3 linked regions of the Neurospora crassa OR74A genome follow. The protein of the gene in region 3 purifies or fractionates together with the protein of the main gene of each other region. This does not show direct contact. Links are inferred from orthologs where the notes say so. Each region holds a gene or a part of one and is shown on either strand. Other genes may lie near its edges.

Region 1 (10,237 bases), on a different chromosome or scaffold from region 3:
CTCTCTTCCCCCGGCAACGGCACCGGCACAACACTTAGCGCGATTCCACTCTCCCCCGGCTGCCGGACCCCCACTCTCCCGGGGCCCATGCTGTGTCGGTGAGGTTCGAAAGTTTCCGAATGACGATCCGGGGCTCTCGCCGACCGTGAAAACCAGACAAGATTGGTGCTTATCAGGACGCAGACTAGGCTTGCTTGCATTGCCCTGATGCAATGGCAGGTGGGGTCTTCTGGGTTGCAAGGCTGTGACGAACAAGTGGAAGTGCGGAATGAGAAAGTGGAAAATCTGAAGAAATGTGACGCTCCGGGGGGGAGGGGAAGGGAATGGGGATGGGTACCTAGGTACGTACTGTACGTACGCAGTGAAGGTACATCGATAGGTACCTTTGCTGCCTAGGTAGCCTGAAGCTCATCGCGATAAGACCTGTAGCGCTGTGGCCCCTTTGTTGGTGCTTTGAGTGGAGTCTATTTGTGTTAGTGTACATAGCGCCGGCACCAGCCACAATCGCAGCATTGCAGCAACGACTTCCATTTCGAATTTGACATACAACCAAATAATGACATCCCGCCGTCCAACGCCTTTGTGAAAGTCGCCAGATATCCTCGATTCAGCGCATAATTGCCATTAAAGAGTCCAGTCGCGTTCAGCGTGAAGCAAAGAAAATTGCTGGCTGCAAAGGCGGCATACCAGTCACGTGTGCAAGTGTACCCTCCCTGTGACAATATACAACCTTGGATCTCTTGAAGTCGACATTGGACAAGTTCTATTTGTTGCAAGTCCATGTCGCACAAACTGCAAGCGACCTTTTTCAAACTTGACAGTAGTAACCCAGTACACCACCATGAGCAATAAGGGGGTCGTAAGGTAGGTAACCAGAGACTTCCCAACCCTATTGCCTTGATTTCCAAAGCCTACCATCAAGTCTACCACATAAGAATGGAAGTCTTCATACGTACATTGTGTGCATCGGTTCCTATATTTGGACGATCAGATCGCTGCAAGGGTTCCGTAACCAATACCACGGTTCCTTGTGCTCAGGCCCCGAATCAATTAATTTATTTGAACAAAAGTCTGGTGCAGGATGGACGGGATGTACGGCGATCATCCTGGAGACACTCATCAACACCGACGGGATGGCATGTTATTCGGAAGTGGAAGTGTGCTCCGACCCGTCAAACTCTCCCTCGGGGAACTCAGCAACACAAGAGGACAAGTGATATCTTGCGCGTCAAACGATACTGACACTGGCTCTCAATCTCAAGTGCGTTGTGCAACAAATACGACCCTGGGAATTTTCCTCGCCATCCACGGTGAGCGATGCCAGTACTCTCCATTGGGCCAAAGTGGGCGGAAGACTCTTAGAAGACATCACACTTTAGGTGTTACTTTTGGTCGTCACTTCTGGCGCGCTTCTCTCGTCACTCCATTCGGCCTCGCCGGTTGCGACGTTGACTGTTGGGTACCATCGTCCCGTCCCTCCACGCCTCCGCCCCCGGCGCCGCCCGTCCCTACCACGGGCCACTCCCGGAGACATGACTGATTTGAGCTTTAACCTTTCGGTGCTCTACCCGTTTGTGGAAGGCCGGCCTCCAGAGAGGGTAACAGAAAATCGCAGCAAAGAAGACATGGAAAAGCTTGTTGGCTTCCATGATGCCATGAGTGCTTAGACTACTGGACGGCTCGGTCTTCTCATCACTATCAACACGGGACTATCCATCATGATGTCGGCTGCCGTTCACGGTGAACCGATGGCGCCCCTCCTTCACATAAGTTAATACTTCCTCCCCACTTCTGGATACTCGAAATCGAGAATCGTGCCACTCTCGGTATAGAATTAAGGCAAAGAGATGTCTGCCGTCTCCGGACGCCCCAAGAGTGAAAGCGGTCTCCCAGACCCATCGGGATGTCGCAAAAATGACCCACTGAAATTCCGTATTGCTTCCTTAACTGAAGCGTACCCCTTTCCTTTTTCTTTTTCATTTTTCCCTTTTCTATTTTCCTTCTTTTTTTTTTTTTTTTTTCTCTCTTTTCTCATACGTGCTCGACATCAGAAAATCCCATGCACCATCGAGAGGCTCGAATACCCTTTGTCAGAAACTTGTCTGGCTCTTGTGTCATCCTTCCCCCAATAGTTGAGGTTTCCAGCGAAGCACCAATGAATGGAAAGAAATAGAGGTAGCTAGGTACATCTCACAAGCCAGGGACACACCGAAGACACTCGTACATAGCGGAATAGGTAGCAATACTTTTCGGCAAGCACCCGTGATGCTTACTGTACTCTTCAACACACAAGATATCCGGAATGTCAGCATGACGTCCCGACTCTGTACGCCCTCGATCGAGCCACAGAATGAGGCCTCATTGCATAGTCACACCGGGGGGCCACCGATCAAACTTTCTTCTTCAACATACCATAGGCCCTCTTCCAAACGGCTTAGCAAGCAACACCTGGGCACAAAAGGATATTTCTAGCAGCACTCCTTTCACTGACATACCGGATGCTGAGCATCCCGGTCGTACAAACGATGGGACCCAATTTCCCGGGACGAGATGCATGACTCTATACACATCGGTTCGATTTGGACAACTGTTTTCAACGAGTGACGTCTTCATCTCGCCCTCGTTCGTATCACGATATCCTGTTGTACACTTGTAAACCTAAACGAGGGACAAGAGATCTCCATCAGGCCATTACAACTCTGATGATCCCGGAGATGTACCATTTTCCTCTATCGATCTATGCGCCACTATTCAGGGTCCCATCCAGATATGTAGACCGATAGGGGTCCCAGGAACTAAAGGCAGGGACAAGGACAAGGACAGATGAGGCGAAGCCCACGTAGGCCTGTCCGACCTTGCAGTATGTATCGATGCTAAATCCTGAGCGCAGTCTGGGCGCTCGCATTCACACGAGTTTTCGGTTCCCAGCTGGATGGTTCGGTAGTCCCCTCCCCCCGCGCCACCACCATTTCTGGAAAGGGGAGGCAGTGGGACACTCCAGTTCACTGCAGTCTGGCCAGACGTTCATGGTATGTATGGGTGTACTTTGGCCCGGGCCAGACCATTAACAGCCGATAGCTTCTTTTCTTTTGCCGGCCATCGTACACTTTACCATTTTATACTACCTAGTGCAGTGTATATCTAGTCTCAACGTCTGTGTCTTGTTCGGGCTCATTCCCGAATGGTTTCTTAAACGAGGTTTCGAAGCTAGTGTTGTGCCTGCTATGCGCAAGCCACAATTGCGGAGTTGAGACCGTTTCGGTTCAGTCAAGTACTTTGGAGGAATGAGATTGGGCGGACGGTTTCAAGGTTGAAGGGTCCAACTGAACCAATACAAGTCACCACAACACCTAACATAGTGTGTTTACGTTTCCAACAGGAAAAAAAATAAATAAAAAAACAAAAAAAAATCTGCACTTGAACTGGTCTGATTGTAATAGGCTCGGAGCAAGTTCGAGGAGGAGCATGGTAAAGGAATATTTTTCGGAGGCGGCCCTTGATTAGCTCGGTCGGTCAGATGTCCACGAGGTGCGGATTTCCGAATCCTGGCTAAGATCCTAGTGGTGTTAGTCGTCTATAGTTCAGTTGGAACAAGACCATGCCCCTGCCGAACGAGGATTTTGACCATAACCAGGGCTTGAGGTTATATGTATTGGTCCGATAAGCCTATCCCGCAAGCAATCATACCAATCTCCAAAGGTATACCCGGAACAAGTCAAAGTCACGCAAGATTGAGAATAGTGTCAAAGGAAGATCTGGACCTCTTTGGACCCTTGCCACCCCGCATCCTCGAGTCTAAACCCCATGGACCGGATAGGTAAGATACGTATTATGTAAGTATGTATCATCTGGCTCCTTCCCCGGATCACCAAAGTCTTGGGTACTTCTTGCACATCACTCGATCAGATCATACCTTTGGATCCCAAATCAGCACGCTCTTTCCGCTTATTTTTGCCGCATTCGTTTGCCTTGCAGCTGCCGTGCCGCGGTGAAACAAAATGTGTGCGATTTGTGTACTTCAGTCCTAACCAGGATAGACACCAGCCATCCTGGCCTTGTGAGGGTAGAACCTAATCAGCCATTATCGTGAGGTGTAGTCGCGCGTCTCTCATGCCCGGGCCCAGTGGCGATGTTTCTTTCTCCCGTGTAAACTGAACTTCAGCCTTTTGCTTTCTTGGAGGAGCAACGACCTACGATTGCCGAACCGATGATGATTGATGAGGAAGGAACAATCAGTCATTGGTAATTACGGAGTATGCCTACCACCTTCCAACAAAAAATCAGGTGGGACAGGTTAAGCAAGACGTAAAAAGTGTAGTAATCACAAGTGAAGAGCTCAACTTTTACGAACGGCATTTGCGAATGATCTGCACAAGAGGATGAAATGGCCACCATCCGACAACGAGCAAGAGTAAACTCCGTTATATGGCGTTTAAGTTTGTCTCGTATAAGCAATGCTTTACGCCAAGTGTGAAGAACGTGTGGTAAATGCCGACGGAGTCATGGGGGCCAATAGGGGATAAGTATGTACATCACCAGGTTTGATCACTTCCCTGTATGAGATATCCATATGGGCTTACTATTCCGATATCTGCTCGAGTTCCAAGTAATGCCTACTGTAAATGCTATGATTCGTCCAACCCGTCCTTGCCGCCATTCAACAATTCACCTCATCGCTTCCGCAAATCCAGGGCCGACTACGTCTGAGATGAGAATACTTCAGGCAGGCCAAGGCCAAGTCCATCTCCCTTGGACAGGACGCAAGGGAATGTCTTGACAACACGTAGCTGGTAGTTGGCCATCCATTCATTTTTCCCACTTGGCTAAGATTGAGGAAGGTACGCATGGAAAGAAAAGCGTACATCGGTCTGGCATTCGTCCATTTGCAGACCTCGTTCACCACTCACGATGCAAGTCGTTCTTCGTGTCTGGACCGACAACTACAGAAAGAACCGAAGGATTGACACCTAAGGTGGTCGATCGTATAACGCCAATCATCGTCATGATCATCAACGGGAGTGTGAGAGAAGCAAAAGCCACTGACGAGATATGTGCCAAGAGTAAGCCGGGTTTGGTTTGTCGCCGACGAAAAAGCCTCCTCCTGCTTAACCGCTTCGAAAGGCGCCAATCCTGATGGTCGATTGCTTCTTGGGACTTTACCCCTTTTAGGTGCAGCTAAGAGATCCCAGAAAAGGTGGTCGCCTACCAGGCGCGCGCCTCATGTAGTTACTGTCTTTGGTTAAGTCGTGAGTTTTGTTGCGCGAACTAAATCGCGGACAGACGGATTTGAGGACTGGGTCCTCTTCGAACGACTTGGGAGACAATTAGTGGGATACTCATTCAGTGAAGTGCCACTGCTCGTGTCGACAGGTGAAAGAAGGCTCAAGTAAGGATTTCACAGGTAGACTCTCAATCGTCTTTCATGAGAGCCCCAACCTTGCAAAGAGATACCCTTGGGAAACGTAACAAGAACAACATGAACTGTTCATGAGAGTAAGCCGATCTGCATCATGCTGGGTGTGTTAGAGTTCCTCGGTACCCCATCATGACAAAGAACATAGGTACCAGACAAGGGGAGGGATAACTTCACGTAATTGATTCAGCCCTCACCCCCGTAGGCTTGCTCACGGCCAACCTTGGCTTCGATACTCGTCGACCAAGATATCCCCGGGACCATAGTAATTATATATCCTTTAGCCTGGCTTGGGCCACAAGTTGTAGAGGTACTTTGGCTTAGTACCCGGTAACGGATCACACTTACACTGTCCGTACTCTCCATTAACGCTGCGCGTCTCGTCCCGGGATATGTTGTCGCCTGAGTTACTTTGTCAGCTCTGATCAACGCCGCAAGCAAACGAGCCAAGAAGATAAGATTTTCAGCGGTGCAAGAGCGCTTAGTACGGGGAAGGTGTAGAGGCAATGGGGTGAGATATCGAAGAGCTAGATAGCATGCAAATCATAGATCAGAGCATATCCAGCATCGAATAAAGCAACAAACAATAAGCTCAAGAAGTAACAAGACCGCCGACAAGGCCGATGATAAGGAGCAAAGATGACCCAAAACTCTGATATGTAAATCTATAGGACTAAGCAAGCTCAAATTTGCTCATCAACAAGCGAAACCAACGGCCCAGCATCCTCTTGATCCTGGATAGACTCTAGGCATGTTTAAATAATCCTCAAAGCCATGTAATGACTGGCTTGCAGTACCCTTGCGTCCCCAGGCCCAAACAATCTCCTTTGAAACTCGAATGGCCAGAATAGTCTCAGTTTTCGACGTGATACCCTGATGAAAGGGGAGGGACTCTCAGTTCGCAGATTTCAAACGCCATAAAGACGAACCAAGCTGTCGAGCATTTTAAGCGCCGATAAAAGCAACCTCTGCTTGACTATCCAGCGCCCTTCTCGTTCTTAGGGTGATTGACTGGTGATCGTTCTTGATGTGTTGTAGGCTGGCCAATTTCGCTGGTGAACAGGAGGTTCGTTGCGCGGTGACTTAGGAGTCGTGACGAGATCGTGAAAGGCGGCGTAAGATGGAAGCAACCGGGGTCACTCCGGATATCAGTCTAAGAACCCTGGTGCTTTATTCCCACAATGCTAAAACAAGGCAGATACCCAAACGCCATTCGCCGTTCCAGATTTACAAAACCATCCTGCCAGTAGAACACCGAATTATGTGAAGGTTCCAGAACAGAGCAACGAAGATAGAACAGTACTAATTCGAAACTCAGTTATCGACGAACTCCTTCTGCTGGTAGACGCAAGAAACCATGGCGTGGTCACGCTCGTAAGGCTCTGTGGGTGATTGTTAGTTATTGTTGGCTCTATCAACCAAAAGGGAAGCGGATGGACGTACCAAGAGTCAACTGCTCCTTGGGGAAAAACTTGTCCTCACGGAGCTTCTGGACCTCAGAGGCGAAGACCTGCTCGGGAGGAGCAGTGGAGTCAATGCAAGAAGCCTTGATAGAGATGAGAAGACCACCACCCTGCTTCAAGAAGAGCTTGGCGTTGATGCCGACAATTCTGAAATGTGTTAGTGTCAGGCACATACAGTGTCAAGGATCTGTATAAGTCGGCTTACCTGGCCTGATCGGGCTGGGCAACATCGGCGAAGATGACATCGACCATGGGGAGCAGCATGCGGTAAGCCATGGGCTTACGGGCATCCTCAACGATGGGGATGACGTTGGTGCGGCGAGTAGCCATGTTGATGAGGTCACGGCCGGAACGGTGAGAGAACTCGACGGCGTAAACGGAACCAGTAGGACCGACGATATCGGCAACGTGAGAGACCGAGGTACCGGAGGCAGCACCGAGGTAGAGGACCTTGGAACCAGGCTTCATATAGATGGTTTCAAGACCACCGAGGATACCGGCAGCAAGCTTCGAACGGAAAGGGTTCCAAATCTGCAAAGTCCAATGTTAGTCTTTGTCTGAGGCCACAAGCTGGAAAGCCTGGAAAACGTACGCGGTACTCAGTCTTGGTGGAAGCACCACCTTCCTCCTTAGAGGCGTTCTCGACAGAGATTCTCTTCTCGCCATAGACGGACTCGCCAGGGACAAGGTTGACGGTAGCGAGGAGATCCTCCTTACCACCACGAGCGACGAAGACGCCCTTGTGACGGTGAGGCTCGACGATGACCTTCTTGCCAGCAGCACCACCCTTGGCGCCACCGCGGGCACCACCGCGACCACGGGTAGCACTATACTCATAATGTCAGTCAATGTCTTTGGAGTAATCAAGGGTTTTGAACACAAGACGTACCCGCCACGGCCACCACCGCGAGGACCGCCACGACCACGGGGAGCACCACCACCACGGCCGCCTGTTAAGTCATTGTCAGTAAAGTGTTGCGTTAATGTGGTTGCTGTTGCCATCGCATGTTGAGTCGAGTTGCGATATGAAGTTCGACTGAAATCGCCATCCTACTACGAGAAGTCAAGAGGCATGCATGGCGACCACGGGCCGCAGCAGACGCAGAGACATCTCTCAAGATGACGAACAGAAGCAACGACATAACCGCAAAGACCATTCAGGCGATGGCATTGAGGCCAAACTCACCACCGAAGCCACCACGGCTACCGCCACGGGCGCCGCCTCTGCCACCACGATCACCACCGAATCCACCACGACCACCGCCACGGGCGCCGCCTCTGCCACCACGCTCGAAGCCCATTTTTATAGAATGTGTCGGTATTGATAAGTCGGAGTCGGTATGAGTTGCGATTCTGGGCCGAAACGCGTTGTAAGATCAGTCGTGCGAGGCACAATGGGTTTAGAGTTGTCGCGCGGCGCTGTCGAGGACTCGGAAAAGAGCTTTTGCTGGAGCTGGGTGCAAAATTTCCTGGACATGGATTGAAAGAAAAAAAAGCGGGGCACGAAGTCTCATCGCTGGAGCACTTTTTTTTCCGGTCGAGGCCTTCTGCCTTTGCAATTGGCTGTCGTCCTGGCGTGGCGGTCGAGGCTCTCCAGTTTGTTGCGGATGCTATCGTGCACGGCCGGCAGTCCAGGAGGCAGGCTGTTATCGGCGCTAGCACTTACTGTCCCCGCGTGCACGTGCCTCAGGCAAAGTGACGGTCCGCACGAGCCACCTGCGCAGTGCCCACAGAGCCCTAATCGCGAAAATCGGTTTTTGTACGCCAAAATTGGAACCCATCACCACCTCTGAACATCACACTTGGTCGATTCCCCGTCCTCTCATCGACAAGCAGGCAAGATGGTGAGTAAATCCCTGCGAAATCCGCCGAACGAGAGAATCGCCGCCGTTATTTTGCTTCAGGACAGTTTTCGGGCTTCTGCAGCCGAAATGACGACGAAAGTCTCAACGGACGACAATGACGGCTTTGCGAGCATTGCGAGCACTTGGAGGAGAGGGAATCGCTGACCGAGTCTTGTTCAAAATCGCAGGTTCGGTACGCTGCGACTGAGATTGCCCCGGCTAAGTCCGCCCGCTCGCGCGGCTCTTACCTCCGTGTCTCCTTCAAGAACACCCGTGAGACCGCCCAGGCCATCAATGGCTGGAAGCTCCAGCGTGCTCAGAAGTTCCTCGAGAACGTTCTTGAGAAGAAGGAGGCTGTCCCCATGAGACGCTACGCTGGTGGCACCGGCCGCGCCGCCCAAGGTACGACTTACTCGATATTTACATGCACAAACACACCCGAACCGGTACATCATGCGACGACGACGACGACAGTGGGGAGGACAAAGTGGCGGGGGAATAGGGGGGCATTGTCAGCATGATGGAACCGCGACCGACCGACACGAAACCGCAATCGAATGGAGGACATAGAAGACACGGTGCTGACCGTTTCTTCGTCATATAGGCAAGCAGTTCGGTGTTTCCCGCGCCCGCTGGCCCGCCAAGTCCGCCGAGTTCCTTCTCGGTCTCCTCAAGAACGCTGAGGCCAACGCCGATGCCAAGGGTCTTGACACTGGCAACCTCGTTGTCAAGCACATCCAGGTCAACCAGGCCCCCAAGCAGCGCCGCCGCACTTACCGCGCTCACGGTCGCGTACGTCAAACCCGGAGATACCCCCCTGATTTCTGCTTCTGCGCCGGCAGATAGACGATCAAGCCGGTCATTGGCTAACAGTTATGTTTTAGATCAACCCCTACATGTCCAACCCCTGCCACATCGAGCTCATCCTCACTGAGGCCGATGAGGTCGTCCAGAAGTCCGAGGCCGTTGTCCGCGAGGAGGCTCACCTTTCCTCCCGCCAGCGTGGCGCTCGCGTCCGCCGTGCCATCACTGCCGCTTAAATGCGCTTTGATAGCTAGGTGATTGGACGAGGGGATGTTTTGATTGAGGGCTTCACTTTTTTTCCGGAACGGTGTACGCGAGCATGGCATTTTTCGGGTCAAGGTCACGATTCCAGGGAAAAAGGGGTCGATCATGAATACTCAATAAAAGAATTTGAGAAAGCATGACACGGCGAAACAAGTAATCATTCAAGCCCTGGCGTAATTGCCAACGGGACGCCAAACCGAACTGCGGGTTACCTGAGCTCTGAGAGTGGCTGTGACGTACCTGTCTGCCCCTGATGCAGAGCCGCATGATGTTCAGGTAGCTAGCCTTCCCGAAACGATACCCAATCCAGCATCCCCGAGTTCAGTTGGATGTGCCCCCTTTGCTGCGTGAGAAGTGATGCTTGAGCAAATACAGCTGCTATTGAGGTTTCGCCACTGGGGGTATCTTGGGTATTGGACAGTCGTGGCTGTTATGATATCATAACCCTT
Region 2 (10,360 bases), on a different chromosome or scaffold from region 3:
GAGCGCTGTGTGATGAATCGTACCTGCGCCTGATCTCGATTGGGTATAGTGGACATTCTTTCCGTAACTGATTTCATTAGGTCTAAGCCTTGACGGCCTGAGGGGCACCACCAGCCTGGGCGCTCGTCTGGACCTGAATGATCTCTGTCCTCTTCTTCTCAATCTTGCCCTGTGTCTCCTTGATGACTCCCTCCAAGCGAGTGCTGTGACAGTGGGTCAGTTGCGTTGTAACTCAAGATCCCATGCAGCAGTTCAACTTACATCTCCTTGCTGATGAACTCCAGTCTACCCTTGACTGTGTTCTCTGCATCCATCTTGTCCTGCTTGAGCAGCACCGGGCCCACTAGCTTGAAGATCTGCTCGTCATCCTTGAGCTTCTCGAACTCCTACATGGTGCTCAGTTAGTCCCCATTTTTTCCTTGGGCAGAATTTGGCGAAAGGCATTGGGCATGCGAGCGCGATGCTTGGAGAAAAGCTGACATTTTGCACGCTGACGTTTTCCTGCTTCTGAGCCTCGAGCTTCTGTCTGGCGAGAACAGTCTCTTGGAGTTCTGAGGTACAGTTAGTGAATGAACTACGGGGATATCATCATAAGGGGGGCTCACCTTTGTTCAGGTTTTGATACTCATCAGAGAGAGCTTGGAGCTTTAGTTGGAGGGGGCTGGCCATGGCTGCTTCTTTGAGGGTGATGTGAAGTGAGAGACAGGGTTATGCTGAAAAGTTACTAGGCGATGACGTTCGAAAACTGAAAAAGGGTTTGGACACAGTGAGGGAGGGAAGATGATGGATCAAAATGCAGGAACAAGAAACACAGATGAGCTCCAGTATGGGGAATTTGGAGGTTTCTATTCCGGGGAACTGAGCTCGCTGTGCAGTCAATCGTCAGGGGTGAGCTGAGCAGATCCCAAAGTCAGTGCCCAAGCTTTAGCTGTTAGTGCAGGAGTGTATCCTCAAGCAAAGTACTAACAGCCCCAGACCAGCGCTCTCTCCACGCGCAAACAAGTGGCGTCAGTGGCCCCCAGGCCGGGAACCATAACAGGACCCCGCGCTACGCTAGCGCTTCCAGGTCAACGGCCAAGACAAGTCGACCTCGTTGCTTGAAACTAACCAAGATATGGACAAGACCACCAACGATCTTCCCCTCTCCAATTCCACCTCAGACCAGGGCGCGACACCAACTTTTTTGTGCCAGAAGACAGTCTTGCCGTAGTCGTTGCCAGGTGACGCCCGCAAGATACGACCAATTCCCGATTTCTCTTCACCTTATCTCTGCCACTCTCGTTGCCGTAGCCTAGGACAACAGCAGTCGTCATCAACGGGTCTCCTCCCTCGCATATGGCCATCTGTTGACATTGACTTCGAACCTCGGCGCGCGAATATCAACAAACTCTCCTTGTCCGAGCGAAGAAGCAAACAAGTATAACGACTACAAACGCTTACTACGGCGTACCAAGAAGAGCGACCAATCCTACACTCGACTAAACCACGAATTCACGCGACATCACTTTACACGCTTCGAGCCGCCGCCGCACAAAATGTCCAATACCGACTTCCTCGGCCGCGCCATCGAGCAAGTGCGCAAAGCCATCGAAGCCGACAACGCCGCCCAGTACGACAAAGCCTACCAGCTGTACTACCAATCGCTCGAACTCTTCATGCTCGCCCTAAAATGGGAGAAGAACCCGAAATCCAAGGAGATGATCCGGGCCAAGACGGGCGAGTACATGGACCGGGCCGAGAAGCTCAAAGCGCACCTGGCGGACGCGGAAGCGAAGCGGAAGAAGCCCGGGATGGTGGGCGCGAACGGGGGTTCGACGGGCGGGACGGGGAAGGGGAAGGAGGCCGGGGAGGACGGTAATGGCAATGGAGAAGCGTTGGATGAGGATAGCAAGAAGCTGAGAAGTGCGTTGGCGGGCGCGATTCTGCAGGAACGGCCGAACATCAGCTGGGATGATGTGGCTGGTCTAGAGGGTGCCAAGGAGGCCCTCAAGGAGGCGGTCTTGTTGCCAATCAAGTTCCCGCATCTGTTCCAGGGGAAGAGGCAGCCGTGGAAGGGTATTTTGCTGTATGGCCCACCGGGAACAGGAAAGAGTTATTTGGCCAAGGCAGTGGCGACAGAGGCGAAGAGCACGTTCTTCAGCGTGAGCAGCTCGGATTTGGTGAGCAAGTGGATGGGTGAGAGTGAACGGTATGTTTTGTCCTGTTGTCTCTGTCCTTATGCCACTATCGTGACTGAGAAGCTAACGATTTTCCAACAAAAAACAGTCTAGTAAAGCAACTCTTCGCCATGGCCCGAGAAAACAAGCCCTCCATTATCTTCATCGACGAGATCGACGCCCTCTGCGGTCCGCGCGGTGAAGGCGAGTCGGAAGCCTCGCGCAGGATAAAAACCGAACTTTTGGTCCAAATGGACGGTGTCGGCAAAGACAGCAAGGGCGTGCTGATCCTGGGCGCCACCAACATCCCCTGGCAGCTGGATGCTGCTATCCGTCGCCGCTTCCAGCGCCGCGTGCACATCACTCTGCCGGACCTGGCGGCGCGCACCACCATGTTCCGGCTGGCTGTGGGCGACACCCACACGGCGCTCAAGGCGGAAGACTTCCGCGAGCTGGCGCGCGCGGCGGAGGGTTATTCGGGTTCGGATATCAGTATTGTTGTGCAGGATGCGTTGATGCAACCGGTGAGGAAGATTCAGCAGGCTACGCATTTCAAAAAGGTTCGTTCTTTTTTGTTTTTCTCTTTTCTCTCCCATCCCTGACCCTCAACCCCTACTTCTACCTCTATTCATGATGCGAGATTGTTAACTTTTGTTACTACAAAAAACAGGTCGTCCACGAAGGCAAACAAATGCTCACGCCCTGCTCGCCAGGCGATCCGGACGCCATCGAAATGACGTGGGAGCAGGTACCCTCGGACGAGCTGCTCGAACCATTTGTCGACAAGAAGGACTTTATCAAGGCCATCAAGGCCAGCAGGCCGACTGTGTCGGGCGAGGATCTCAAGAGGAATGAGGAATGGACAAAGGAGTTTGGTAGTGAGGGTGCGTAGAGAGATGCCTGCCACAGTGTGGGGGGCGGGTGTGGTCAATGGTTCGTTCCGTGCGGTTTATTCTTGTTCTTTGGTGTTTCTCCCATGGAAAGCGAAGGAGTGGTATACAGAGGGCGGCGGGTATCTGGATGTTTTAGGTACTTTTTACTTTGGGGTTAAGAGTCTTGCAAGCCCCTTTTTCTATCTTGGCAGCACATTGCATGCGGCAAGGCACATGTTTACTACGAAGACTTGATGATGACGATATTATTCTAGCGAGAAAATCAGGGGAAGATGGAGTGTCGATGGGCGTTTTGCAATCATGCGATATTGGAAGAGTACATAGATTCATGACACTTCACATCAACCAGGTACTTTTAGACGTACGTTCCGTTTCGTTTAATGAGCCTTTGTTTTTACCCATATCGCCGCCATATGATGCTCCATGGGTATGATGCTAGTACACACGCACATCCTTTTCAACTTTTTTGCGCTACCCCTCTATGATCAGTCGTAGATGGCAAGAGATGTGAATGACGACAACGACGAACTATTTATGATTCTTGCAAGAAACAAGTAGACCCGTAAAACTCCTTTGTACCAGATTTGACCCATACCCCATACATTATAAGAAACTCCCGAGGATAACAACGACAACAGAGCGAACCAACAAGAACGACGTGCCAAAAAACGCGACGAGAAGCTCTAAACAAGATGACGAAGAAAAAAAGTAAAAATCGTGAAAAAGACACAAGTGGTGACGCTGCTTTTTGGCTCTTTTTCTTTCGGTCTTTTTACTCAGACTTCGACTTCTTCTTCTTCTTCTTCTTCTCGGGTTCCGCAGCGTCGGGGGCGTCTACCATCTCGACGTCTTCGCTAGTCGCTTTCCTCTTCTTGTCCTTCTTGTCCTTCTTCTCCTTCTTCTCCTCCTTGTCCTTCTTCTTGTCCTTCTTCTCCTTCTTGTCCTTCTTGGAGTCGGCGGCGTGGGTGGCGGTGTGCGAGTCGACCATCTCGGTGTCAATGTCCATGTCACCCTCGTCGTCCATGACGAGCTTGATGGCCTTGTCCATGGCCTCGGTGTTCTTCATGGGCTTGATGCCCTTGGCGTACCACTCCAGACGCTGCTCAAGCTGCTCACGCATAACCTCACCAAAGCGCTTAGTGGGGTTCTCAGAGAAGTTGTCGATACGGGAGGCAATGGAGCACTTGTTGGCGAGGTAGCGGGAGATGCGACCCTTGACCTTGGGACCGGCGCGGCCAATGAAGGTGCTCTGGTAGAGGAGACCGTACTTGGGGGTGGCGCCCTTGGTCTTGAGAGCGCGGAAGAGGGCCTTCTCGGCACCGAGGATCTGGAGGGTAGAAGCGGGGTACTTGGCGAGGTTGGTGAGGGAGCCGGCGTGCGAGATGAGGCGGGCGGCAACGGGGGTGCCGAGGATGACCTGCAGGTTAGGAGCGACCTCGCCCATCTTCTTGTCGAGCGACTCGGCGAGGATGCGGCGGTAGTCGGCCATCTTGGAGACGTTGTCCGCGAGGTCCTTGACCATGTTGAGATCCATATCGCTGATGTCCTGACCCATGGAGACCTTGGCGGCCTGGATGATGGCCTTGGCCTTGTCCTCGTCCTGGTTAAGGACGTTGGCGAGCTCGTCGAGGGACTCGTCGCTGAGAGACTTCTTGTTGCCGACAGCGAGAACGACCTTGGCGTAGGTGCCGTTGTCGGAGACGATGCGAATAAGCTCAGGGAAGTGCCAGCCGTACCACTCCCTCACGCGCATGGCGCCGGAGTTGATACCCTTGTCGAGGGCATCGAGGGTCGCGATACCCTGGATGATGTGGTTGTCGTTCTTGTGGACGGAGAACTTGACCTTGGCGCGGGAGTAGGCGTGACCGAGACCGAGCTGGGCGCGGTTGATGTCACCGTCCTGGAGGCCCTTGAGGAGCTTGCCGGCGTGGGTGCGGATGCCGCGAAGGAGGGCAGCGACGACCTCGGAGGTATCGGCAGCCTCGCACTGAATACCGGGGAAGTTTCCGCTAATTTCACCAGCGAGCCTCTTGTCGACGACACCGAGGACGATCTTGCTCTTCTTTCCGCTGGTCTGGGGGAGGTTGAGTTCGAGGGTGTTCTTGAGGTGGTCGGGCATGATACCCTCGGAGATGAGGTTGATGGCCTCGAGACCGTGGGCGGCAGAGCTGGAGGTTAAGGAACGTTAGTTTATGGTTCAGCCAAGACAAGCAATTCACACAATGTTTCTGTCCCTCCCAACATCATCACCACCACCACCACCACCACCACATGACCATGAAATCACCACAACCACCTCAACCCGAAACACCAACTCCAAAACCACACAATGCTTTTGCTTCTGGCCACCTACTTCCAAGGGTTGAAGCTGCGGAGCTTCACCATCTTGCCGAACTTGTCGAGATCCTTCATGGCATCCTTGACCTCGGGCAGCTCCAAGCCGACAGTGTCGGCCTGGTGGACGACCTCGAAGAGCGAGAAGCCGACCGCGCTTTCGAACAGAAGATAGTTGACGTTGGCCATCTTAGCGGTGATGTTGTCGTATGATGACTCTGGATTGATGGGTGACTGGGTAACCGGGTGCGCTGGGATTGGAGTGTTGTGCGCAATTGGGCGTCGTTCAATGCCACCGGTGCATGAACTCAGTCTTCGGTCTCCGGGAATCAGAACGGCGCTGTGTTTGGATATTTTTTTGCTCTGCCACTTTTGCCCTGGACAAGTTTTTTCGAAATTTTTGCGGCAAGCTCAGGACGAAGCACGGGCCACAGCCATGCGGGGTGGGGATTCTGCCTACCCCAATTCACGCCGCATTGGCCACCCCATTGGCCCGTTGGAGCGCTGTAAGCTGGGAAGGCTTAGCAACCAATGGCAGCAGCAATTGTGCGAAACTCCTTTGGATTTTCGTGTCGATAAGAATTCGGATAAGAAGAGTCTTGCCAGCTGAGCGACAGCTGTCCGTGTGCCTGGCCTCTTGTCTGTCTGACAGTCGGGTCCTCGTCGTCGTCCTACCTCCCACACTGACACGGGACATTTTGCTGCCCCATTCACCCACACCCACTCACCACACCTGACTGACTCTTTGCATCGAACTCAACCAGATCGCATATCATTTGGCCAATGGTCGAGTTCCCTCACTCACATCAGCCCTATGGGCTCGATCTGCATGTCTGACCTGCACAATGGGAGAGATTGAGGCTTGGACTGTTTGGCGGTGTCGGTAACAGTCCGTCCTTCATCGATCCTTTTACGGTTTTCCATTTCCATTCGGAAAGCAGCGAGACGGATGATTCATGATGAATCCTTGTTCTTCTTTCCATTGCGGCAATGCCACAATCCCCTTACTTATTCGGTCGTTTTCGTGCCAATATGCAAACACATACTCCTTTGTCGTCGACCGAGACACATGCCATCCCATGTTGTTTGTTGGCGTCATGTCTGCTCACACGAGACACGATATGCAGTCAGATCGAGAAATGTGAAGGCGTTGGTCACGGGTTCTCTCGCTTCTCGCCTCACAAACTGGTGTACTTCAGTTCTCTCTTTCGGGCTCCCCTCTGCCACCTCATGTCAACATGCCCACCTCGGACTTGGGTTGTCACAAGTGTCGACCGCTTCGCATTCCCAAGCAAGACCCGGCGTCCATGAAGGGATTACCAACTGAAGTGACCGGACCGCCCGATGACTCAGGCCAGCATTATCGACTGCCCGGTCTCAGGACATTCAACGCATCGTCTACTACGACGTTGATGTTCTCGTCAGGGCGTGGCAGAAACAACAACAACAACAACAAGACAAGACTTGGGATGCTTTGATTATTCCATTGTGTTCAAAGCATGTCGCTCATCATCGGTTTCACATCCTATAATGGCCGTTGTCTGGATGATCACAGGCGTCGCAATCTGGGAATGCCTTCTCTGGCTTCTGCGGGATTGGTCGTGAAACGGTTCCGTCCAGCCGGACATCCAATCAGCGACACCAACTCCGGGTCTTCGAGGGATGATACAGTATGTACAGTGGCGGAAGAGCCCTACAGCATGCACGACACCCCCAAATTGCCCCAATGCTCCCGTTCTTCAGCGCATCAGAAGCGTACGGGTTTCGATGGCGCACCATTCCGGCCCGTTGCATGGATGTGGTGCCGCTGTGTACCTATCATTTCCATTTTGGGTCTCGCAGCGTCGACGACACCATCACGATACTACACAGTACCTCAGTCGATCCAGTCTCTTCCGACAGTTCAAGTGATGCCAAGTCCATGGTGGTATTTGGCGTGGTGATTTGTTTCCGTCGTTTGTATCATGATGGCTCTTCGGGCGAGCAGCTTGCCTCACGCTCATACGTAGCTCATGTAGCTCGAAGCGCGAGATCCGTGGCTTTCGAATTAGGGGCATCAACATCAACCAAGCAAACGTGTCGTGGAGCTGTGAACGAGAATATGTACCCGACCTATCTGACCAATATATCAAATCGGTACTCGACATGCACAAGGAACAGCGCTGATACTACCCTCCACCATCTCCTAGACGCCATTGGATGCCCCAGTCGAGGCCTGAACAGTGCGCAGCTGCGATGAGCTTCCATCTACACCGACCTTCCAAGCCAAGAGACTGTCAAAGAGGTACTCTGCAGTGTCTGTCTATCCGTCCCCATTGATTCAGCCTTATGCCCTCCGGGTTACGTCGCTATACAGCGGCATCTCCGTACGACATAACCCCATCCTTACGTACCTTGCCAAGCCTAGTCTATTCGCTAACTTACCCTGGACTTGGAACAATGGCCAGTCTACGAGCTCCGCGCCGGCACACCCCACGAAACCATCATCAAGGACCGCGACTTCGCCTTGTTCTGACATGATACTACCGTCTCTCCGCGTCACCCTAGAGGCCGGCATAGGAAATGAAAGCACCGCCTCCTCCAGGAACCGGTCCGTCTCCCGATAGCTTGGTTACTTCTACCCGGATCACGTCGGCGCTTGAGAGCCTCTTGATCTCACTACCCCCACAAGGTCTTGCACAGCCCTGTGCGCAGCCAGTTCGTGAATCCACTTCATCAATTGGTCGAATGAGCATAGATCTGGATACAAAACATGATCTGACACCCCTAGAGCTTCAATAAATAAGAACAAGACCCCTTCTTGAACAAGGTCTATCTGGAGGTAACCCGTTTCCTGGCTTCTTCTTCTCACGGGATTCTGCACAGACTGATACTCTTGGCTTATATCTTTGTGGTCTAACAGAAACCATACACCTGCCCAATACCGTCCAAATCCTCTTCATGGCTCTGAATCACCATCAGCCAAAGGTGGACCGTGTGAGAGAAGGATTCACCAGCTATGCCGTCGGGGAGATTGATGCTTTTTCGTATCAGGTGCCGACTACTACATCCAAGGAAAACCCATATTCCGAGACACATACCGACAACATCTGGCAAGAGACCGACTACTTTCCGACTTACGATCATGATCTCATCAGCAAACACTCCCGCGCCTCGCTTGCCTCGACATCTAGACGGAGCTCAGCTGCTCCCAGCATCTTTTCGACTGCTGGCCTAAGAATCTCAACTGCCTCGACGGCATACTCACGATATTCGGTTCGACAACACTCCGTGGACTCGGCGGATCCTAATATGTCTGCAACACCTTGTAGTTCTGGGAAATGCGATGACGGCTTCAACACCGATGACTACCCACCTCGCTATCATTGCACATTCTGCGACGCCATGTTTGCGTGTCCCGGCCAGTGGAGGGATCACGAACTCAGGGATCACGACAGACCCGAGGAGCATTTGTGCTCCATTTGCCACGATTCTTTCTCTGAACGACCATCTCTTGCATCCCATTGTCGAGATGTTCACAATCTTTCTTCTTCCCCAACGACTCAACACATAGTCAAGCTACCGACAAGAGGTGCTTGGGGATGTGGATTCTGCGGTGCCTTCGTGCAGTCGCGTCCTGACTACCTAGATCACGTCGGCCGGCACTGCGAAGAAGGCATGCAAAGAGCCCATTGGCAGCACTCCTCTGTGATTCGTGGCCTTCTAAAACAGCCAAAGATAGCGGAAGCATGGGACCGCCTGGTTACGAACCAAGAGCGGGATCGAGGTACCAGGTTGCATTTTACGTGGGATGAACAGGCGACCGGACGACACGCGGCCACGGAGGCTGACGACGCCCGCAATCCCTCTCGGTTGCAAGACATACTTGAGTTCTTTGCAAACAGCTCTTCGGACCCCCAGTACATCGCGCAATATGCCTTTGACACGGCTCAAATTAGAACCGAACAGAACGTCAATAGTCTCGTCAAGGCGTACTACTCTCATGGCTTGCGCCCGTTGCCGGAGAGTCCAGGTGACATCACTTCACCTCGAGTTGATGGAATGAGCTACCTAAACCTCGAGCAGTCCGCGCCCCAAATCAGTACTAAAAACTCCGACAATCCTGTACCGGCTGAATCTTCATTTCCCGTGTCATTCGCGGGGGCAATTTCTACTGCAGCGTTTCTTTCGCAAGCAACTGTCGTCGAATCTGGACTAAGTCCCGCTTGGGACCCCTACGCTCGCACCCAATTATCCAAGGCAAGCCAGGATCGAGAAACGGACATTGCACCGCATCACACAAACTCGCCCAACACCACAGAGAGCGCTCCTTCTCCTGTGACAATGACCAATGCATTTTTACACACGAAATCGACTCCATCACCAATACGAAAAGGGCTACGTCGGATAGATAGCGATAGACGTCTTGATGCTCTCAAACCTGGAACTGTGGACTTGGTCCGAGGGGAAGATCTCCAACGTCCACGGACTGCTTTGGCCTCAAATTACACCAGAGCCCCAATTGCAGTATCTGTGGAACATGGCGTTGAGGCCAGTCAGCAACCCTCTCTTTCAGATGCTGTGCTTAAATCTGCTCCCATGAATAACGTCGTTCGCAAGGACTGGCTGCTTGTTTCGAAGCCAGGGAGCCGCTCTTCCATTGGGTCACCGTCTGTCTCAAGCATGCGATCTGATATTACCAGGAAAGGATTCTCGACCCACGATGATAGCACTAGTGAACATGTCTCAGATGACAGTCTCTCTGACCCAGATCTTTGGGCAGAACACAACATCGGCGATGACAACAGTAGAGCTTGGAGCAAAGCGTATCAGCAGGCCATCAACATGGCGCTACAACGACTTTGGTCCCAGTATAACCACAACTGGGATGCATTAATCAGATCATGTGTCGGAAGTGCAGGGAGCAGCAACACCGACAGAATGGATCCATATCGAGCGAGAAAAGCCACACCGTCTCGGCGAAAGCCGGACGGAAGC
Region 3 (10,044 bases):
ACAATTGATGTCCTGCCAGGGCTTGTTTTTGAGATCCGCCGTGATGCTCAAACGAACACATTCGACGCAGACACGCATCGCGTGTTGACAATCAGTAGAGAGTTTCGACAATGGAAAATGAAGAAAGTCTTTCGTCTCTGTGCAGACGACACACTCTATCTGTACGGTCTCGATTTGGACGGCCTCAGTCTTGCTGGAGGCTAGCTTTTCAGTTTGCGATCGTGTCTCGACGGTAAGAGTAGTCATGGTCAATCTCAATGAGGGAAAAGAAGTTTAGGCCAGCTGGCGCCTTGGTAAATGTAATTGTATCTCCGCAAGCAGGCTTCTGGATGACAAAGCTGAGGTGAGGGGCCGAAGAGGGCACACGTCGTTTTGCAGAAACATCTTATAAGTACGAGTGGGCAGGGAAGCAGAGGACTTGGATGGTGACGCTATCATCAAGTACCTCTAGGTACCTCATCCAATGGGATTTGGCATAGCACGCAGTATGCAAGTGCCAACGAGCAGTACAAACAAGCAGACAGCCGGAGGACTCGCTCAACCCTGCGTGGAAAACCTGCTGAATGTTAGAATCTGCAGCTGATCTTGATGGACGCGCAAATATGACTACGGAAAAGGCACATGATTGTAAAGTGGTAATAAAAGATGACAACCGGAATTCAAGCCAGCCTACTTTTCTAGGAGGGAGTGCCGGTCAATAGACGCCAAGGTACGGAGTTTCAACGTTAACTTTGTGCCTTGATGAGAACGTATCAAGTACTTGAAGGCAGTAGAAAACTTGACTCGGCTTGGTCCAACTGATGTGATAAGGTATGGATAAGTATCTCCGATGATGCCTGATTTCCAGAGAAGTTGAAAATCAATGGCCCGAGTCTTTGCGGAATTGGAAATGTGCTAAAAAGCGTGCTGGTGTGCGGAAGACAGACAGAGGAGCATTTACAAGTAAGATGAAGCTGTACCAGTCATCTCGAACATCTGTTGACGGCGATAATTGCTGTCCAGGAAAACATCAGACAGCCTTACCAAGGGGTGTGTGGGTGTGTAAAAGACTGATCGCAACAAACGCGGCATCTTATCGTGAAGGGGCTATATCATGGATGCTTGCATCTCGTCCCGTCGTTCGTTTGACACAAGCCTCCCGTCAGTCGAGGGGAAGCACCTTAACTCTCCATTTCTCCTATTCCCCGCTACGGACCTCAGGCAGATGCCTTGAACGAGATGGCTTTGATCAGATACCTACCTAGACAACAACCAGTCTCTTGCAGAGAGTGTGCAAATAATTCAAGGGACGAAATATCATCATATGGGTTCCCTAGCAAGAGTGTTGATACTTAACTTACTCCGAACTGCTTGATCTGAGGCTTGAGCCTTACATATGCTGTGCCGACATTGCTACTTGTAAATGTCATACAACACCATCATGTTTATCGATTATTTTTTTCCCCCTTGAAGGATAGGTGGTGCGACGGAACGGCCAGTGTAGCTGACACCCAGGGTTGACATTAACCAGCCCGCTGTTGTTGCGAATCACTTGGAAGAAAAGGCATGTTCCCACGAGTGCGGAGAGATAGCTGGGTTACCTCACAGTTTCGCCTACGAAAAAAATGATTTCAGAGGAAAAGAGGACACAAAGAGAAGGTAGAGCATTTTCAAACTTTCAATAAATGAGAGGTAACGAACGACAGAAACAGATCAATCCCGCCTCAGATGGGGATGATCGAAGTATCAAATTTGACACCTTGACTTCTCTTCCAGGTTCTGGCCTGCTCCTTCATCCACAAATGATTGACGAAGGCGAAAACGGAAGCAGCCATCCATCCGAGTGTCCGGGGTGCTGTCCTGTGCTGGAAGGAGCGAGAGACATGCTTCAGAAACTTACGAAATGCTTCGTCCAGCCTTACAGTACCCCGAAATCTCGCCGCAAGCTGCTGGGAAAGGATGGATAGAGACTGGAGCTGGAAATGTATTCTACACGAAGGGAGCATAGTGGCATGGGACCGACCCTTTTGTCAAAATACGTGGTTTAGGTATCATAACAAGTCTAAAACTATCGCAAAATACGTATGTAAACATCCATGATTGGATGACGAACCCCGATATCTCTCCTTTTCCCACACCAACACCAACATTGAAAACCAACTCATCAATCCTCCAACAAGCCAGCGGCCAAAGCCTCCAAATCCTGCAAGTTATCCGGCTCATGATCCATCTCAATGACCTTCCTGCCGCCCTCCATCTTAGCCTTCTTCCTCCTCGGCCTGCCGTCATCGCTATACTCCGTATCCGAGTCATCCTTCTGGAACCACTTCTTAGCCTTCTTCTTAGGCGGTTCCCTATCGTCCTCGCTCTCGTCACCGCTGTCACCGCCCTTGCCAGCAACAGGCAAACTTCTGAGCAAAGCCAAAGGATCCTCCTCCACATCGCTGTGCGCGTCCAGCAGCGCCGGCTGCAGGGGACCCTTCTCCCTCTCGACCTCCTCTCCCCTCTCCCTTGCCTTGGCGCGCTCCCTCTTCTCCTTCCTCCGCTGCTTGGCCAGCAGCTTGTCTTCGACATCCTGCTCCTTGACCTTGGTGGCTTCGCTCTCGACGAACTTCTGCCTGAGCTCCTTGGCGTCGCCCTCCTTCTGGAAGTCCTCCTCGTCTTGCAGCTGGTAGAGCGGGTGGGCGTTTCCTTCGTCGTCAAACACAAGCTTCTGGCCCTTCTCCATGTACTTGAGCAGCTTCTTCTTGGACTTGAGCAGCTTCTCGCGACGGTGCGAGTCGATGACCAACTCGGCGTTCTTGCCCAGCTTGACCACCTTGGCCGTGCCGTCGGGGTTGGTGCCGGACTTGGCATTGCCGGCGGCGTCGTCGAGGGCGGCATCGTCGTCCAGCACGCGCTTGACCGAGAGGAAGTCGTCTTCCTCGTTGTCTTCTGCCTGATCTTCTCCGAGAAGCTTGCGGTAATGCGTCGACAAGACGTCCTGGTTTTGACGCTCGGCCATCTTGTCGTACTTTGTCCTGACCTCCTTCTTCTTCTTGCGGATCTCGCCGTCCGAGCCTTCGGTGTCGGACCCGCTGGACATGGCGGCGCGCGAGGCATTCTTGAGCTTCTTGACGTCCTCGCCCTTCTGGTATCTGATCTGTGGAGTACCTGGGAGACCCAGGCTGGAAGCAAAACCGTCGAGGTCGAGTTTGTCGAACTTGAACACCTCCTTATCCTTTTGCAGGTAAATCGAACGGACGTACGAGACGAAAGCCTTCTGTCCGAGGTATTTGAGATCGGGTGACTGGAAACACTGTGACTGTAGTTCGTTCTTGATGCTCTTCTTCTTGTTTTCTTTGACGTTCACTTTCTGGACGGTCACCTTCTTGTGCTCGAGACGCTTAAGGAAACCCTCTTCTTCGCTGGGGTCGAGGAACAAGACGGCGCGGCCCTTGCTCTCGTAACGCGCCGTTCTGCCGACGCGATGGATGTAGGTGTCGGCATCTTCAGGGCAATCGACCTGGATGACCCAGTCAACGGCGGGGAAATCGACACCTCTGGCCACGACATCGGTGGCGAAGAGGCAGGAGTATTTCGCGGACGTGAACCGGTTCGTGATCTCGAGACGTGCTATTTGTTTTTGGCGACCATGCAAATGTAGTAGTGGAATACCGGGCTGCATCCGCTTAAAACTTTCGTAGACGAATCTGACCTGCTTGCCGGAGGACATAAACACAATAATCTTGCTCTTGAGGTTCGTTCGTAGGAAGCCCCATAGCGTGTCGAGCTTCTCAGGGAGAGGTGTGACGATGTAATGCTGTTGGAGGCCGACGGGGGTCGCCGATGCTGCGGCTTCGTGAACAGAGACGTATTCGGGGTCCTTCAAGCTCAACCGGGCAAGGTCCGAGACACGCTTGCTTTGTGTGGCGCTAAACAGCAGGGTCTGCCTGCTCTTGGGAAGATGCTCAACAAGAGCGTCAACGGCCTGTTGGAAACCCATGTCCATGATGCGGTCGGCCTCATCAAGCACGAGCATCTGGAGGTTGTCGACATCGAAGCCGGCCGTTTGGTCGAGATGCTGCAGCATACGGCCAGGTGTGCAGACGAGGATATTCATGCGCCCAAGACGCTCCGCCTCCTCCTTCAAGCTCTTTCCACCAATGACCAAGCCTGCCGAAAAGCTGTGGTTGCGACCAATCTTCCTGAGAACTTCAAATATTTGGACGGCCAATTCACGGGTCGGGCTGATAATGAGGGCACCGAGACCGTCGTACTCAGTCCATCGTGCACGGTATAGCTTCTCGAGGACGGGAACAAGGAAGGCGAGGGTCTTGCCGCTACCTGTCCTAGCAGCGCCGAGGATATCTTGCCCTTTGAGCGCGAGAGGGATGGCGGCGCGTTGGACATCGGTTAGGACCTCGAAATGGGATGCGCGTAGTCCAGAGGCGGTAGGTTCGCAAAGGGGAAGGTCCGAGAACTTGTTGAGTTCGGTGGATTTGGGGTCCTAGTAGATTGAGACACAATATTTAGAAGCGTGTGCGGTTGTATGGTGAGAAACGGGGGTTCAGTACTAGGACTTACAAGTTCGTCGATTCTCTTCTGAAGCGCCTCGAGGTTCTCCAACTCTCTTTTCCTCTTCAACGTCTTGTGTTCGGCCTTGTTGGCTTTGGACCTCTCCTTCTCGGCTTTGCCCTTGCCACCGCGGCCTTTGGGGCCTCCTGGAGCCATTGTGTTTGTATCGTCTGAACGTGCTGGAAATTGGGCGTGGTGGGTTCGACGAAGTTCCAAAGGTCGGGTCTGCTAGTCGAGCGAATCCAATTGCCTGCGGGTCGTCGCTGGTGGCCTTTCAGTTCGATGCGAATGGGAAAACTTTTGGCGGAGAGCAATTCTGCCAGCTCGACCCACCTCATCCACTGTAAGCGAGGGGATCTGCAGCAGGGGTCTCGGACTCGCGGCCAGCTCAGACCAGGGTTAGGGTCATACGAGCAGACAGACGACCATCGAGTTGTCAGCCCCCAGTGACATTCTCAAGTCGTTGCTATGGTTCATGATGGGTTGGATGGGCAGTTGTACGGGGCTGAAGTAGAAAATTCACAGTAGCTTTTGCATCGAACCAAATTCGAATTGTAGTGGTTTTATCTCAGCGCCCACAACTTCAGCAATCTACATGTTTCACTTAGAACAGCAACATTCGAACATCAACACCGTGCCTGAGCAATGAAAAGAGCCAAACTATCATGAAAGCATAATGTATTGAACCACGAAAAAAATGAGCTTGAAGACGGGTATCGCTCGCTCACATGATTCCTTCGTAGGTAGACACCCGCAATAAAACCAACCCACTAGACCCACCCATATGTACGTTTCCCAAAGTTGAAAGCGATAAAAAAAAAAAAAAGGACCAAAACGCCTTGCCCCATTCCCAATTTCCTTGCTTTTCCCTTCAATACGTATTCGGTAGCTCAAGATCCGTCGCCCAGATACCCATTATCAATCCTGTTATTCCTCGCCCTCGTACTCTAATTCCTCCCCAAACAGTTTCAGGCGGTAAATGCATGTATGATCCAGGGCTCCATGGTTCGTCTTGGCTCTGACGACCACCTTGTACGTCGCCGCATCCAGATCGAGCAACTCCTCCGACAGCTTGTGGACAAACATGCCGTGGCTACCGCTGGTCTTGGCATAGTCGTACTCCAGCTCGCCGATCTTGACGTATTTTCTGTTGATGAGGGACAGCGATTTTTTGTTGTTTGCGTCGACCATCTTCATGTCAGCTTCGCGCTCGCCAGGGTACAACTCGTCCATCCAAGCCAGGAGTCGCTTGTTGTCGTCCGCGTCCGGATAGTATCCCCAAATCTCAATGTCTTTGGGCATGGACCCAGGGTCATTCGTCGCGTTCGGATGGACGTGCTCAACGACGATGGCTTGGGGAATGACATGTTTGGCCATCTCCACGGCGAGCTCGGCCCCCCTGCTGGCTGAGATGCCAGCGCACCAGCACTGGCCAACGTCGTTCCAGGCAGAGAGCGCCAGCATGTATTCTGCTTCCAGGGTGACCTTATCCTTGCTCGAAATGGGCTTCGGCTTGCCGAGCAGTTTGCTGAGGTGCTTGTTGCCTGGCAGTGCTTGCGACTCAAGTCGGTATACGGGGGATGATTCCGACAAGACGATACCAGCTTCATTGCCCAGGCCGAAATGATTGACTTGAGTTTCAACGTAGTCGTGGTAGTTGCGCATGATGCCGTCCTTAGCGGCTGCTTCAAGTTGCGCCCGAGGAATCTCCTTCTTGACAATATTCCTAACCAAGGTGGTGATTTCGGACTTGGAAAGACTGCCTTCGGAGTTGGAGATGGCCGCCTTGACCGTAGTGTCGATGAGTGTCTCAAGCCCTTTCTTGACGGAATCCAATTGACCATCAATCTCCTCCTTGTGTTCTGCAATCCTTTTCTTCAAGAGGCCCACAAACTCATCTCGGCTGATGGCTGCGTCACGCGTGACCCCATCGCCTTTGTCGCCTGGTAGATGCTCCTTGACAACCTGGGCAACCTTTTCCCCGTTCTTGGTTACCCAACGTTCCCAAGATTTGGAAACAGTGCCTTCAGCAATCTGCAAGATATGCTCATCCGATGGGCCCTTCTCGAAAAGTCCGGCTTTGATGAGGCGCGGCCGTAGTGCGTCCCAATGCTCTTCGGAAATGTCACCAGTGCCGTCAAGCGTGAGAACCGAGCTGTCCTTGAGCATCTTATCCAGAAGAGCATGCCAAAAATCGTCCTGAATGATGAGATCGCCGTTTGGACCACGTTTAACGTGCACCATCCGGGGAAGAAGAGTTTGGATGTTTTTGACAGCACTCTCCGTAGAAGAAGATTGTTCAAGGATAAAGTCCTTCAAGTCATTAAACTGATCATCCGTTAGCTGCGGATGACTGGGGATGAACTGCCCGACGTTGCTCCTCCAGTGCTTCCAGCCATACCATCGGATGCTGGTATTCGCATCCGGCGAACCATAAGAAGACGCGGTTAAGACTATCAGACCGATGAGGAGCACTGGTACAAGGAATGTGAACAGCTTCCACACGCCCCATGTCGAACGGCGAATCAAACTCAGTAATCGTTGCACGAAGGTAGGAGGAGCAGTAGTATACGGAGGAGGCGGTGTTTCCACGTTGGTGGTATTTGACTGTTCGGCTCGCGGCCTGGATGTTTGGTTTGGTCTTGCAGCTGTGGGCTTGGACACCTTGCCAAAGGACGGATACTGTTTGTCAGACATGGATTTCGCCTCTGTGTCGAACAAGTCTTGGTGTTGATCGACTTGATGGGAAGGAGGTTGGAGAGAATTGGAGAGGGTTGACGCTGGTCGCCTTGCGATTCTGGGTGGTTCTGGAGGCTCTGGGGTATATCGGGCTAATCGCTTTTGTTGAGCCATTCGCACCTCTTCTTCGAGCACTTCCCTCATCTTTTCCGAGTCCGTGTAGACATCGCTTTCCTCCACGTAGCTGTTGCCGGTATCGGGTACCACAAGTTCCCTTGTCCTGGAAGTAGGTGGTGTTGAAAGCAGTTGTTTGGAAGGTGGAGGGGGTGGTCGCATAGCCTGCCTCTTTGCTTCCTCCAGGCTTGCCATCTCTGCTTCGCTTGCCTCTCGAGCTTGGCGTTGCTCTTCCTTTTTACGCGCAGCCTCTGCTGCGTGCTTCTGTTCGGCTTGACGCCGCGCATCTTCAGAACGCTCACGGTTTAGCCGAGCATTTCGTTCGGCACGTTCCAGCTCGGCCTGTTTCTGGTCCTCCTCGTCGCGTGCTCGTTTCTTGACTTCTCGTTCGGCTCGTTCTTGGGCCTCACGCGCAGCCTTTACTTTGGCTTCTTGCTGAGCTTTCGCGGCCTGTTCCTTCTTTTCTCTCTCAGCCTTGTCCCTCTTTTCCCTCTCTTCTTTGTCCTTCTTGTCTTTCTCCAACCTCTTCCTCTCTCTCTCCGCAGCGTCCTTCTCCGCTTTCTCCCTTTCTTCCGCTGCTCTCTCCTCCGCCCTTTGCTTTTCTAGTAGCTTTGCCTTCTCAATCTGATCTTGTAGCTTGTTGAGAGTTTGGACTGGTTTCGTAGCACGCCGGGGCGGGTCTGGTGCGGGTTCCTCTTCTTCCTCGTCATTGTAGTAGCCACCTTGGTTGTCGTCATCGTCTTCTTCCTTCTCTTCCTGCACCTCCTCATCCTCTTCCTCCTCCTCTTCGGTTTCTTCCTCAATTGGGTCAGGGCGTCTGGGGCCAGGAGTTGTGCTACCCCTACGCGCATCAAGCTCTCGACGGCGAGCCTCAGCCTTGATATTGTCGGTCCTGACAGTTTCGTGTATCTCGGCGAAGGCCGTTTCGAGATCAGTACCTGCAGCGGTTTTGTTCCTGTCTGGCATAGCCACCAGTGAGGAGCCATAACTGAGACTGAATCTGGTGGGCGTTTGATTCCTGACCTGCTTAACAGGAATCAAAGTCCCGCGCTTTCCAGGCTTTGGCGTGCCTATATCGGAAAGGGCAGGCGAAGGTGACACCGCCGACCTCCGCGTTATCCGTCTAGGAGGCATGGTTGCCGTGGATTTTGTGAAAAGATTGTTAACGTCGTGAAACGCGAGGTCAACGTGGGACCAGTGATTGGAATATGAACTGTCCATAGTGTTAGAAGGCGTTATAAAATCCAAAATGTGAACAACTGATGTTCTTCTTTTTCCTATGACACAATGTTGTCGCAATGAACAGAGACGGTTGGAAACAATGTGCTACTGAGGAAAAAGATCCCAAAATTGAGAGCCGTTACAGAAATGTTGAAGACTATAGGCGAATTGAAAAAAGAAAAACAAGAGCCGCGGTTAGAGCATGTGCATGGGGCGATCCAAACTCACATTTAAATGTCGGACTAGACGACTAAGATGCCGCCCAAGTCTTTTGAAGACGAGTTGCTAGTAACAACGAATCGATGGGTGTTAAGAGGCTGGGCCGAAATGCAGAGCCGTGAGGTGGCTCTTGGGGTTCTTTTTGTGAGGCTGCCGCTGCAGGCCGATTTTGCTTGGGTGAGCGTCCTCCTGTCCAGACCAGCCAGACAACGAAGCCGCCGCCGGTCTGTATATTGGAGGTTGATCTTCGGGTGGTTGCGATATGTTGATGCGCCTTCGCCCTGCGACTGCGACTGCGACTGAACGGCAACCAGACTTTTGCTATTTGCGAGGCGCGCAACACGTGGCACCCGCCTCCAATCAAGGTGAAACTGCTGAAGAGCCCTACGGATGCCCAAGGTGATTACTCGATACCGTTGGTCAATTGCGCCAACAGATCCGACGCGAGGGAGACCTGAAGAAAAGTAACCCAACCTCCTCGCTGAACGCAGTGAAAAGTCGGGTAGTCGGGTCCTCGGCGATGATGTGCAGCGTTCCCTTGCAGACTCGGCACGCGTGGCTTCGATTGATGGCACCGACGCGATGCTAGGCTGCAGCAGCGATCAAAGGAGACTTGAGCGAAAGCCTTCTAACGCTGGGAATCTTTTTTTTTTCCTGACAGAAATTGTGGATACGTCGTGGATGTTGGGGAACAATTGACTTTTGCTTCACTTTTTTTTCATTCAATGTTTTGAGGTTGAGATCGTGGCTTGTCCAGCATGAAGACAGAAAAGCGCTGAGCAAAGGGGGCCCGGCGGAAGTGAATCAGAAGATGATTATTACTTTGCTACAGCGATGTCTCTGGGGTAAGTAGGGATGTTGTTGATGTTGTTGTTGTTATTGACAATGCATGCATCCATTCGCAAACGGACAAGGCAAGTTGCTGGTGTCTTTTGTTCTGAAAACGGCCTCGTCTCTTTGTGGATCGATGTCTTGGTTGACTCGAGCTGCCTTTCATGTTGAGCTGTAGCTGTCCGCCTTGCCTTTGTTAGCAGTCATTGTCTGGTGAGAGCCTCTTGTTCAATGGTGCCTTTTGTTGTAAAGGGGACCCTTCGGCTGCTCTTCGTCGAAGGTTCCCGTCTGTCTTTGACGCAGCGCAATCACAATAGAAAGCGAGGGAGTGCCCTCAGCTTGGAGCAAGTGGAAAGATTGAAGACGGGACAGGATGCGATGAAA

Evidence for each region.
Region 1: the proteins of NCU04439 (region 3) and NCU03702 purify together in Saccharomyces cerevisiae (affinity purification with mass spectrometry, with the first as the bait; 4 studies listed by BioGRID). This does not show direct contact. The link is inferred for Neurospora crassa OR74A from reciprocal best matches to the Saccharomyces cerevisiae genes HCA4 and NOP1.
Region 2: the proteins of NCU04439 (region 3) and NCU06943 purify together in Saccharomyces cerevisiae (affinity purification with mass spectrometry, with the first as the bait; 4 studies listed by BioGRID). This does not show direct contact. The link is inferred for Neurospora crassa OR74A from reciprocal best matches to the Saccharomyces cerevisiae genes HCA4 and NOP56.

Annotation. Positions count from the first base shown.
Region 1 is NC_026505.1:2,133,783-2,144,019, forward strand, and holds NCU03702 (rRNA methyltransferase NOP1), read right to left. Parts: upstream 8,465-10,237; 5' UTR 8,178-8,464; coding exon 8,063-8,177; intron 7,827-8,062; coding exon 7,766-7,826; intron 7,704-7,765; coding exon 7,469-7,703; intron 7,408-7,468; coding exon 7,082-7,407; intron 7,024-7,081; coding exon 6,857-7,023; intron 6,796-6,856; coding exon 6,728-6,795; 3' UTR 5,912-6,727; downstream 1-5,911. Other genes in the region: NCU03703 (60S ribosomal protein L17), read left to right, coding at 8,718-8,720, 8,909-9,122, 9,325-9,512, 9,605-9,760.
Region 2 is NC_026507.1:845,170-855,529, forward strand, and holds NCU06943 (SIK1), read right to left. Parts: upstream 6,148-10,360; 5' UTR 5,573-6,147; coding exon 5,403-5,572; intron 5,218-5,402; coding exon 3,822-5,217; 3' UTR 3,410-3,821; downstream 1-3,409. Other genes in the region: NCU06941 (prefoldin subunit 6), read right to left, coding at 83-203, 262-386, 481-551, 606-669; NCU06942 (vacuolar protein sorting-associated protein VPS4), read left to right, coding at 1,536-2,188, 2,266-2,716, 2,827-3,048; NCU06944 (hypothetical protein), read left to right, coding at 8,324-10,360. UniProt on the Saccharomyces cerevisiae protein: Required for 60S ribosomal subunit synthesis.
Region 3 is NC_026504.1:3,350,771-3,360,814, reverse strand, and holds NCU04439 (ATP-dependent RNA helicase dbp-4), read right to left. Parts: upstream 4,814-10,044; 5' UTR 4,693-4,813; coding exon 4,546-4,692; intron 4,469-4,545; coding exon 2,144-4,468; 3' UTR 2,009-2,143; downstream 1-2,008. Other genes in the region: NCU04440 (hypothetical protein), read right to left, coding at 5,464-8,523. UniProt on the Saccharomyces cerevisiae protein: ATP-dependent RNA helicase required for ribosome biogenesis. Involved in the release of U14 snoRNA in pre-ribosomal complexes. Required for pre-rRNA cleavage at site A2.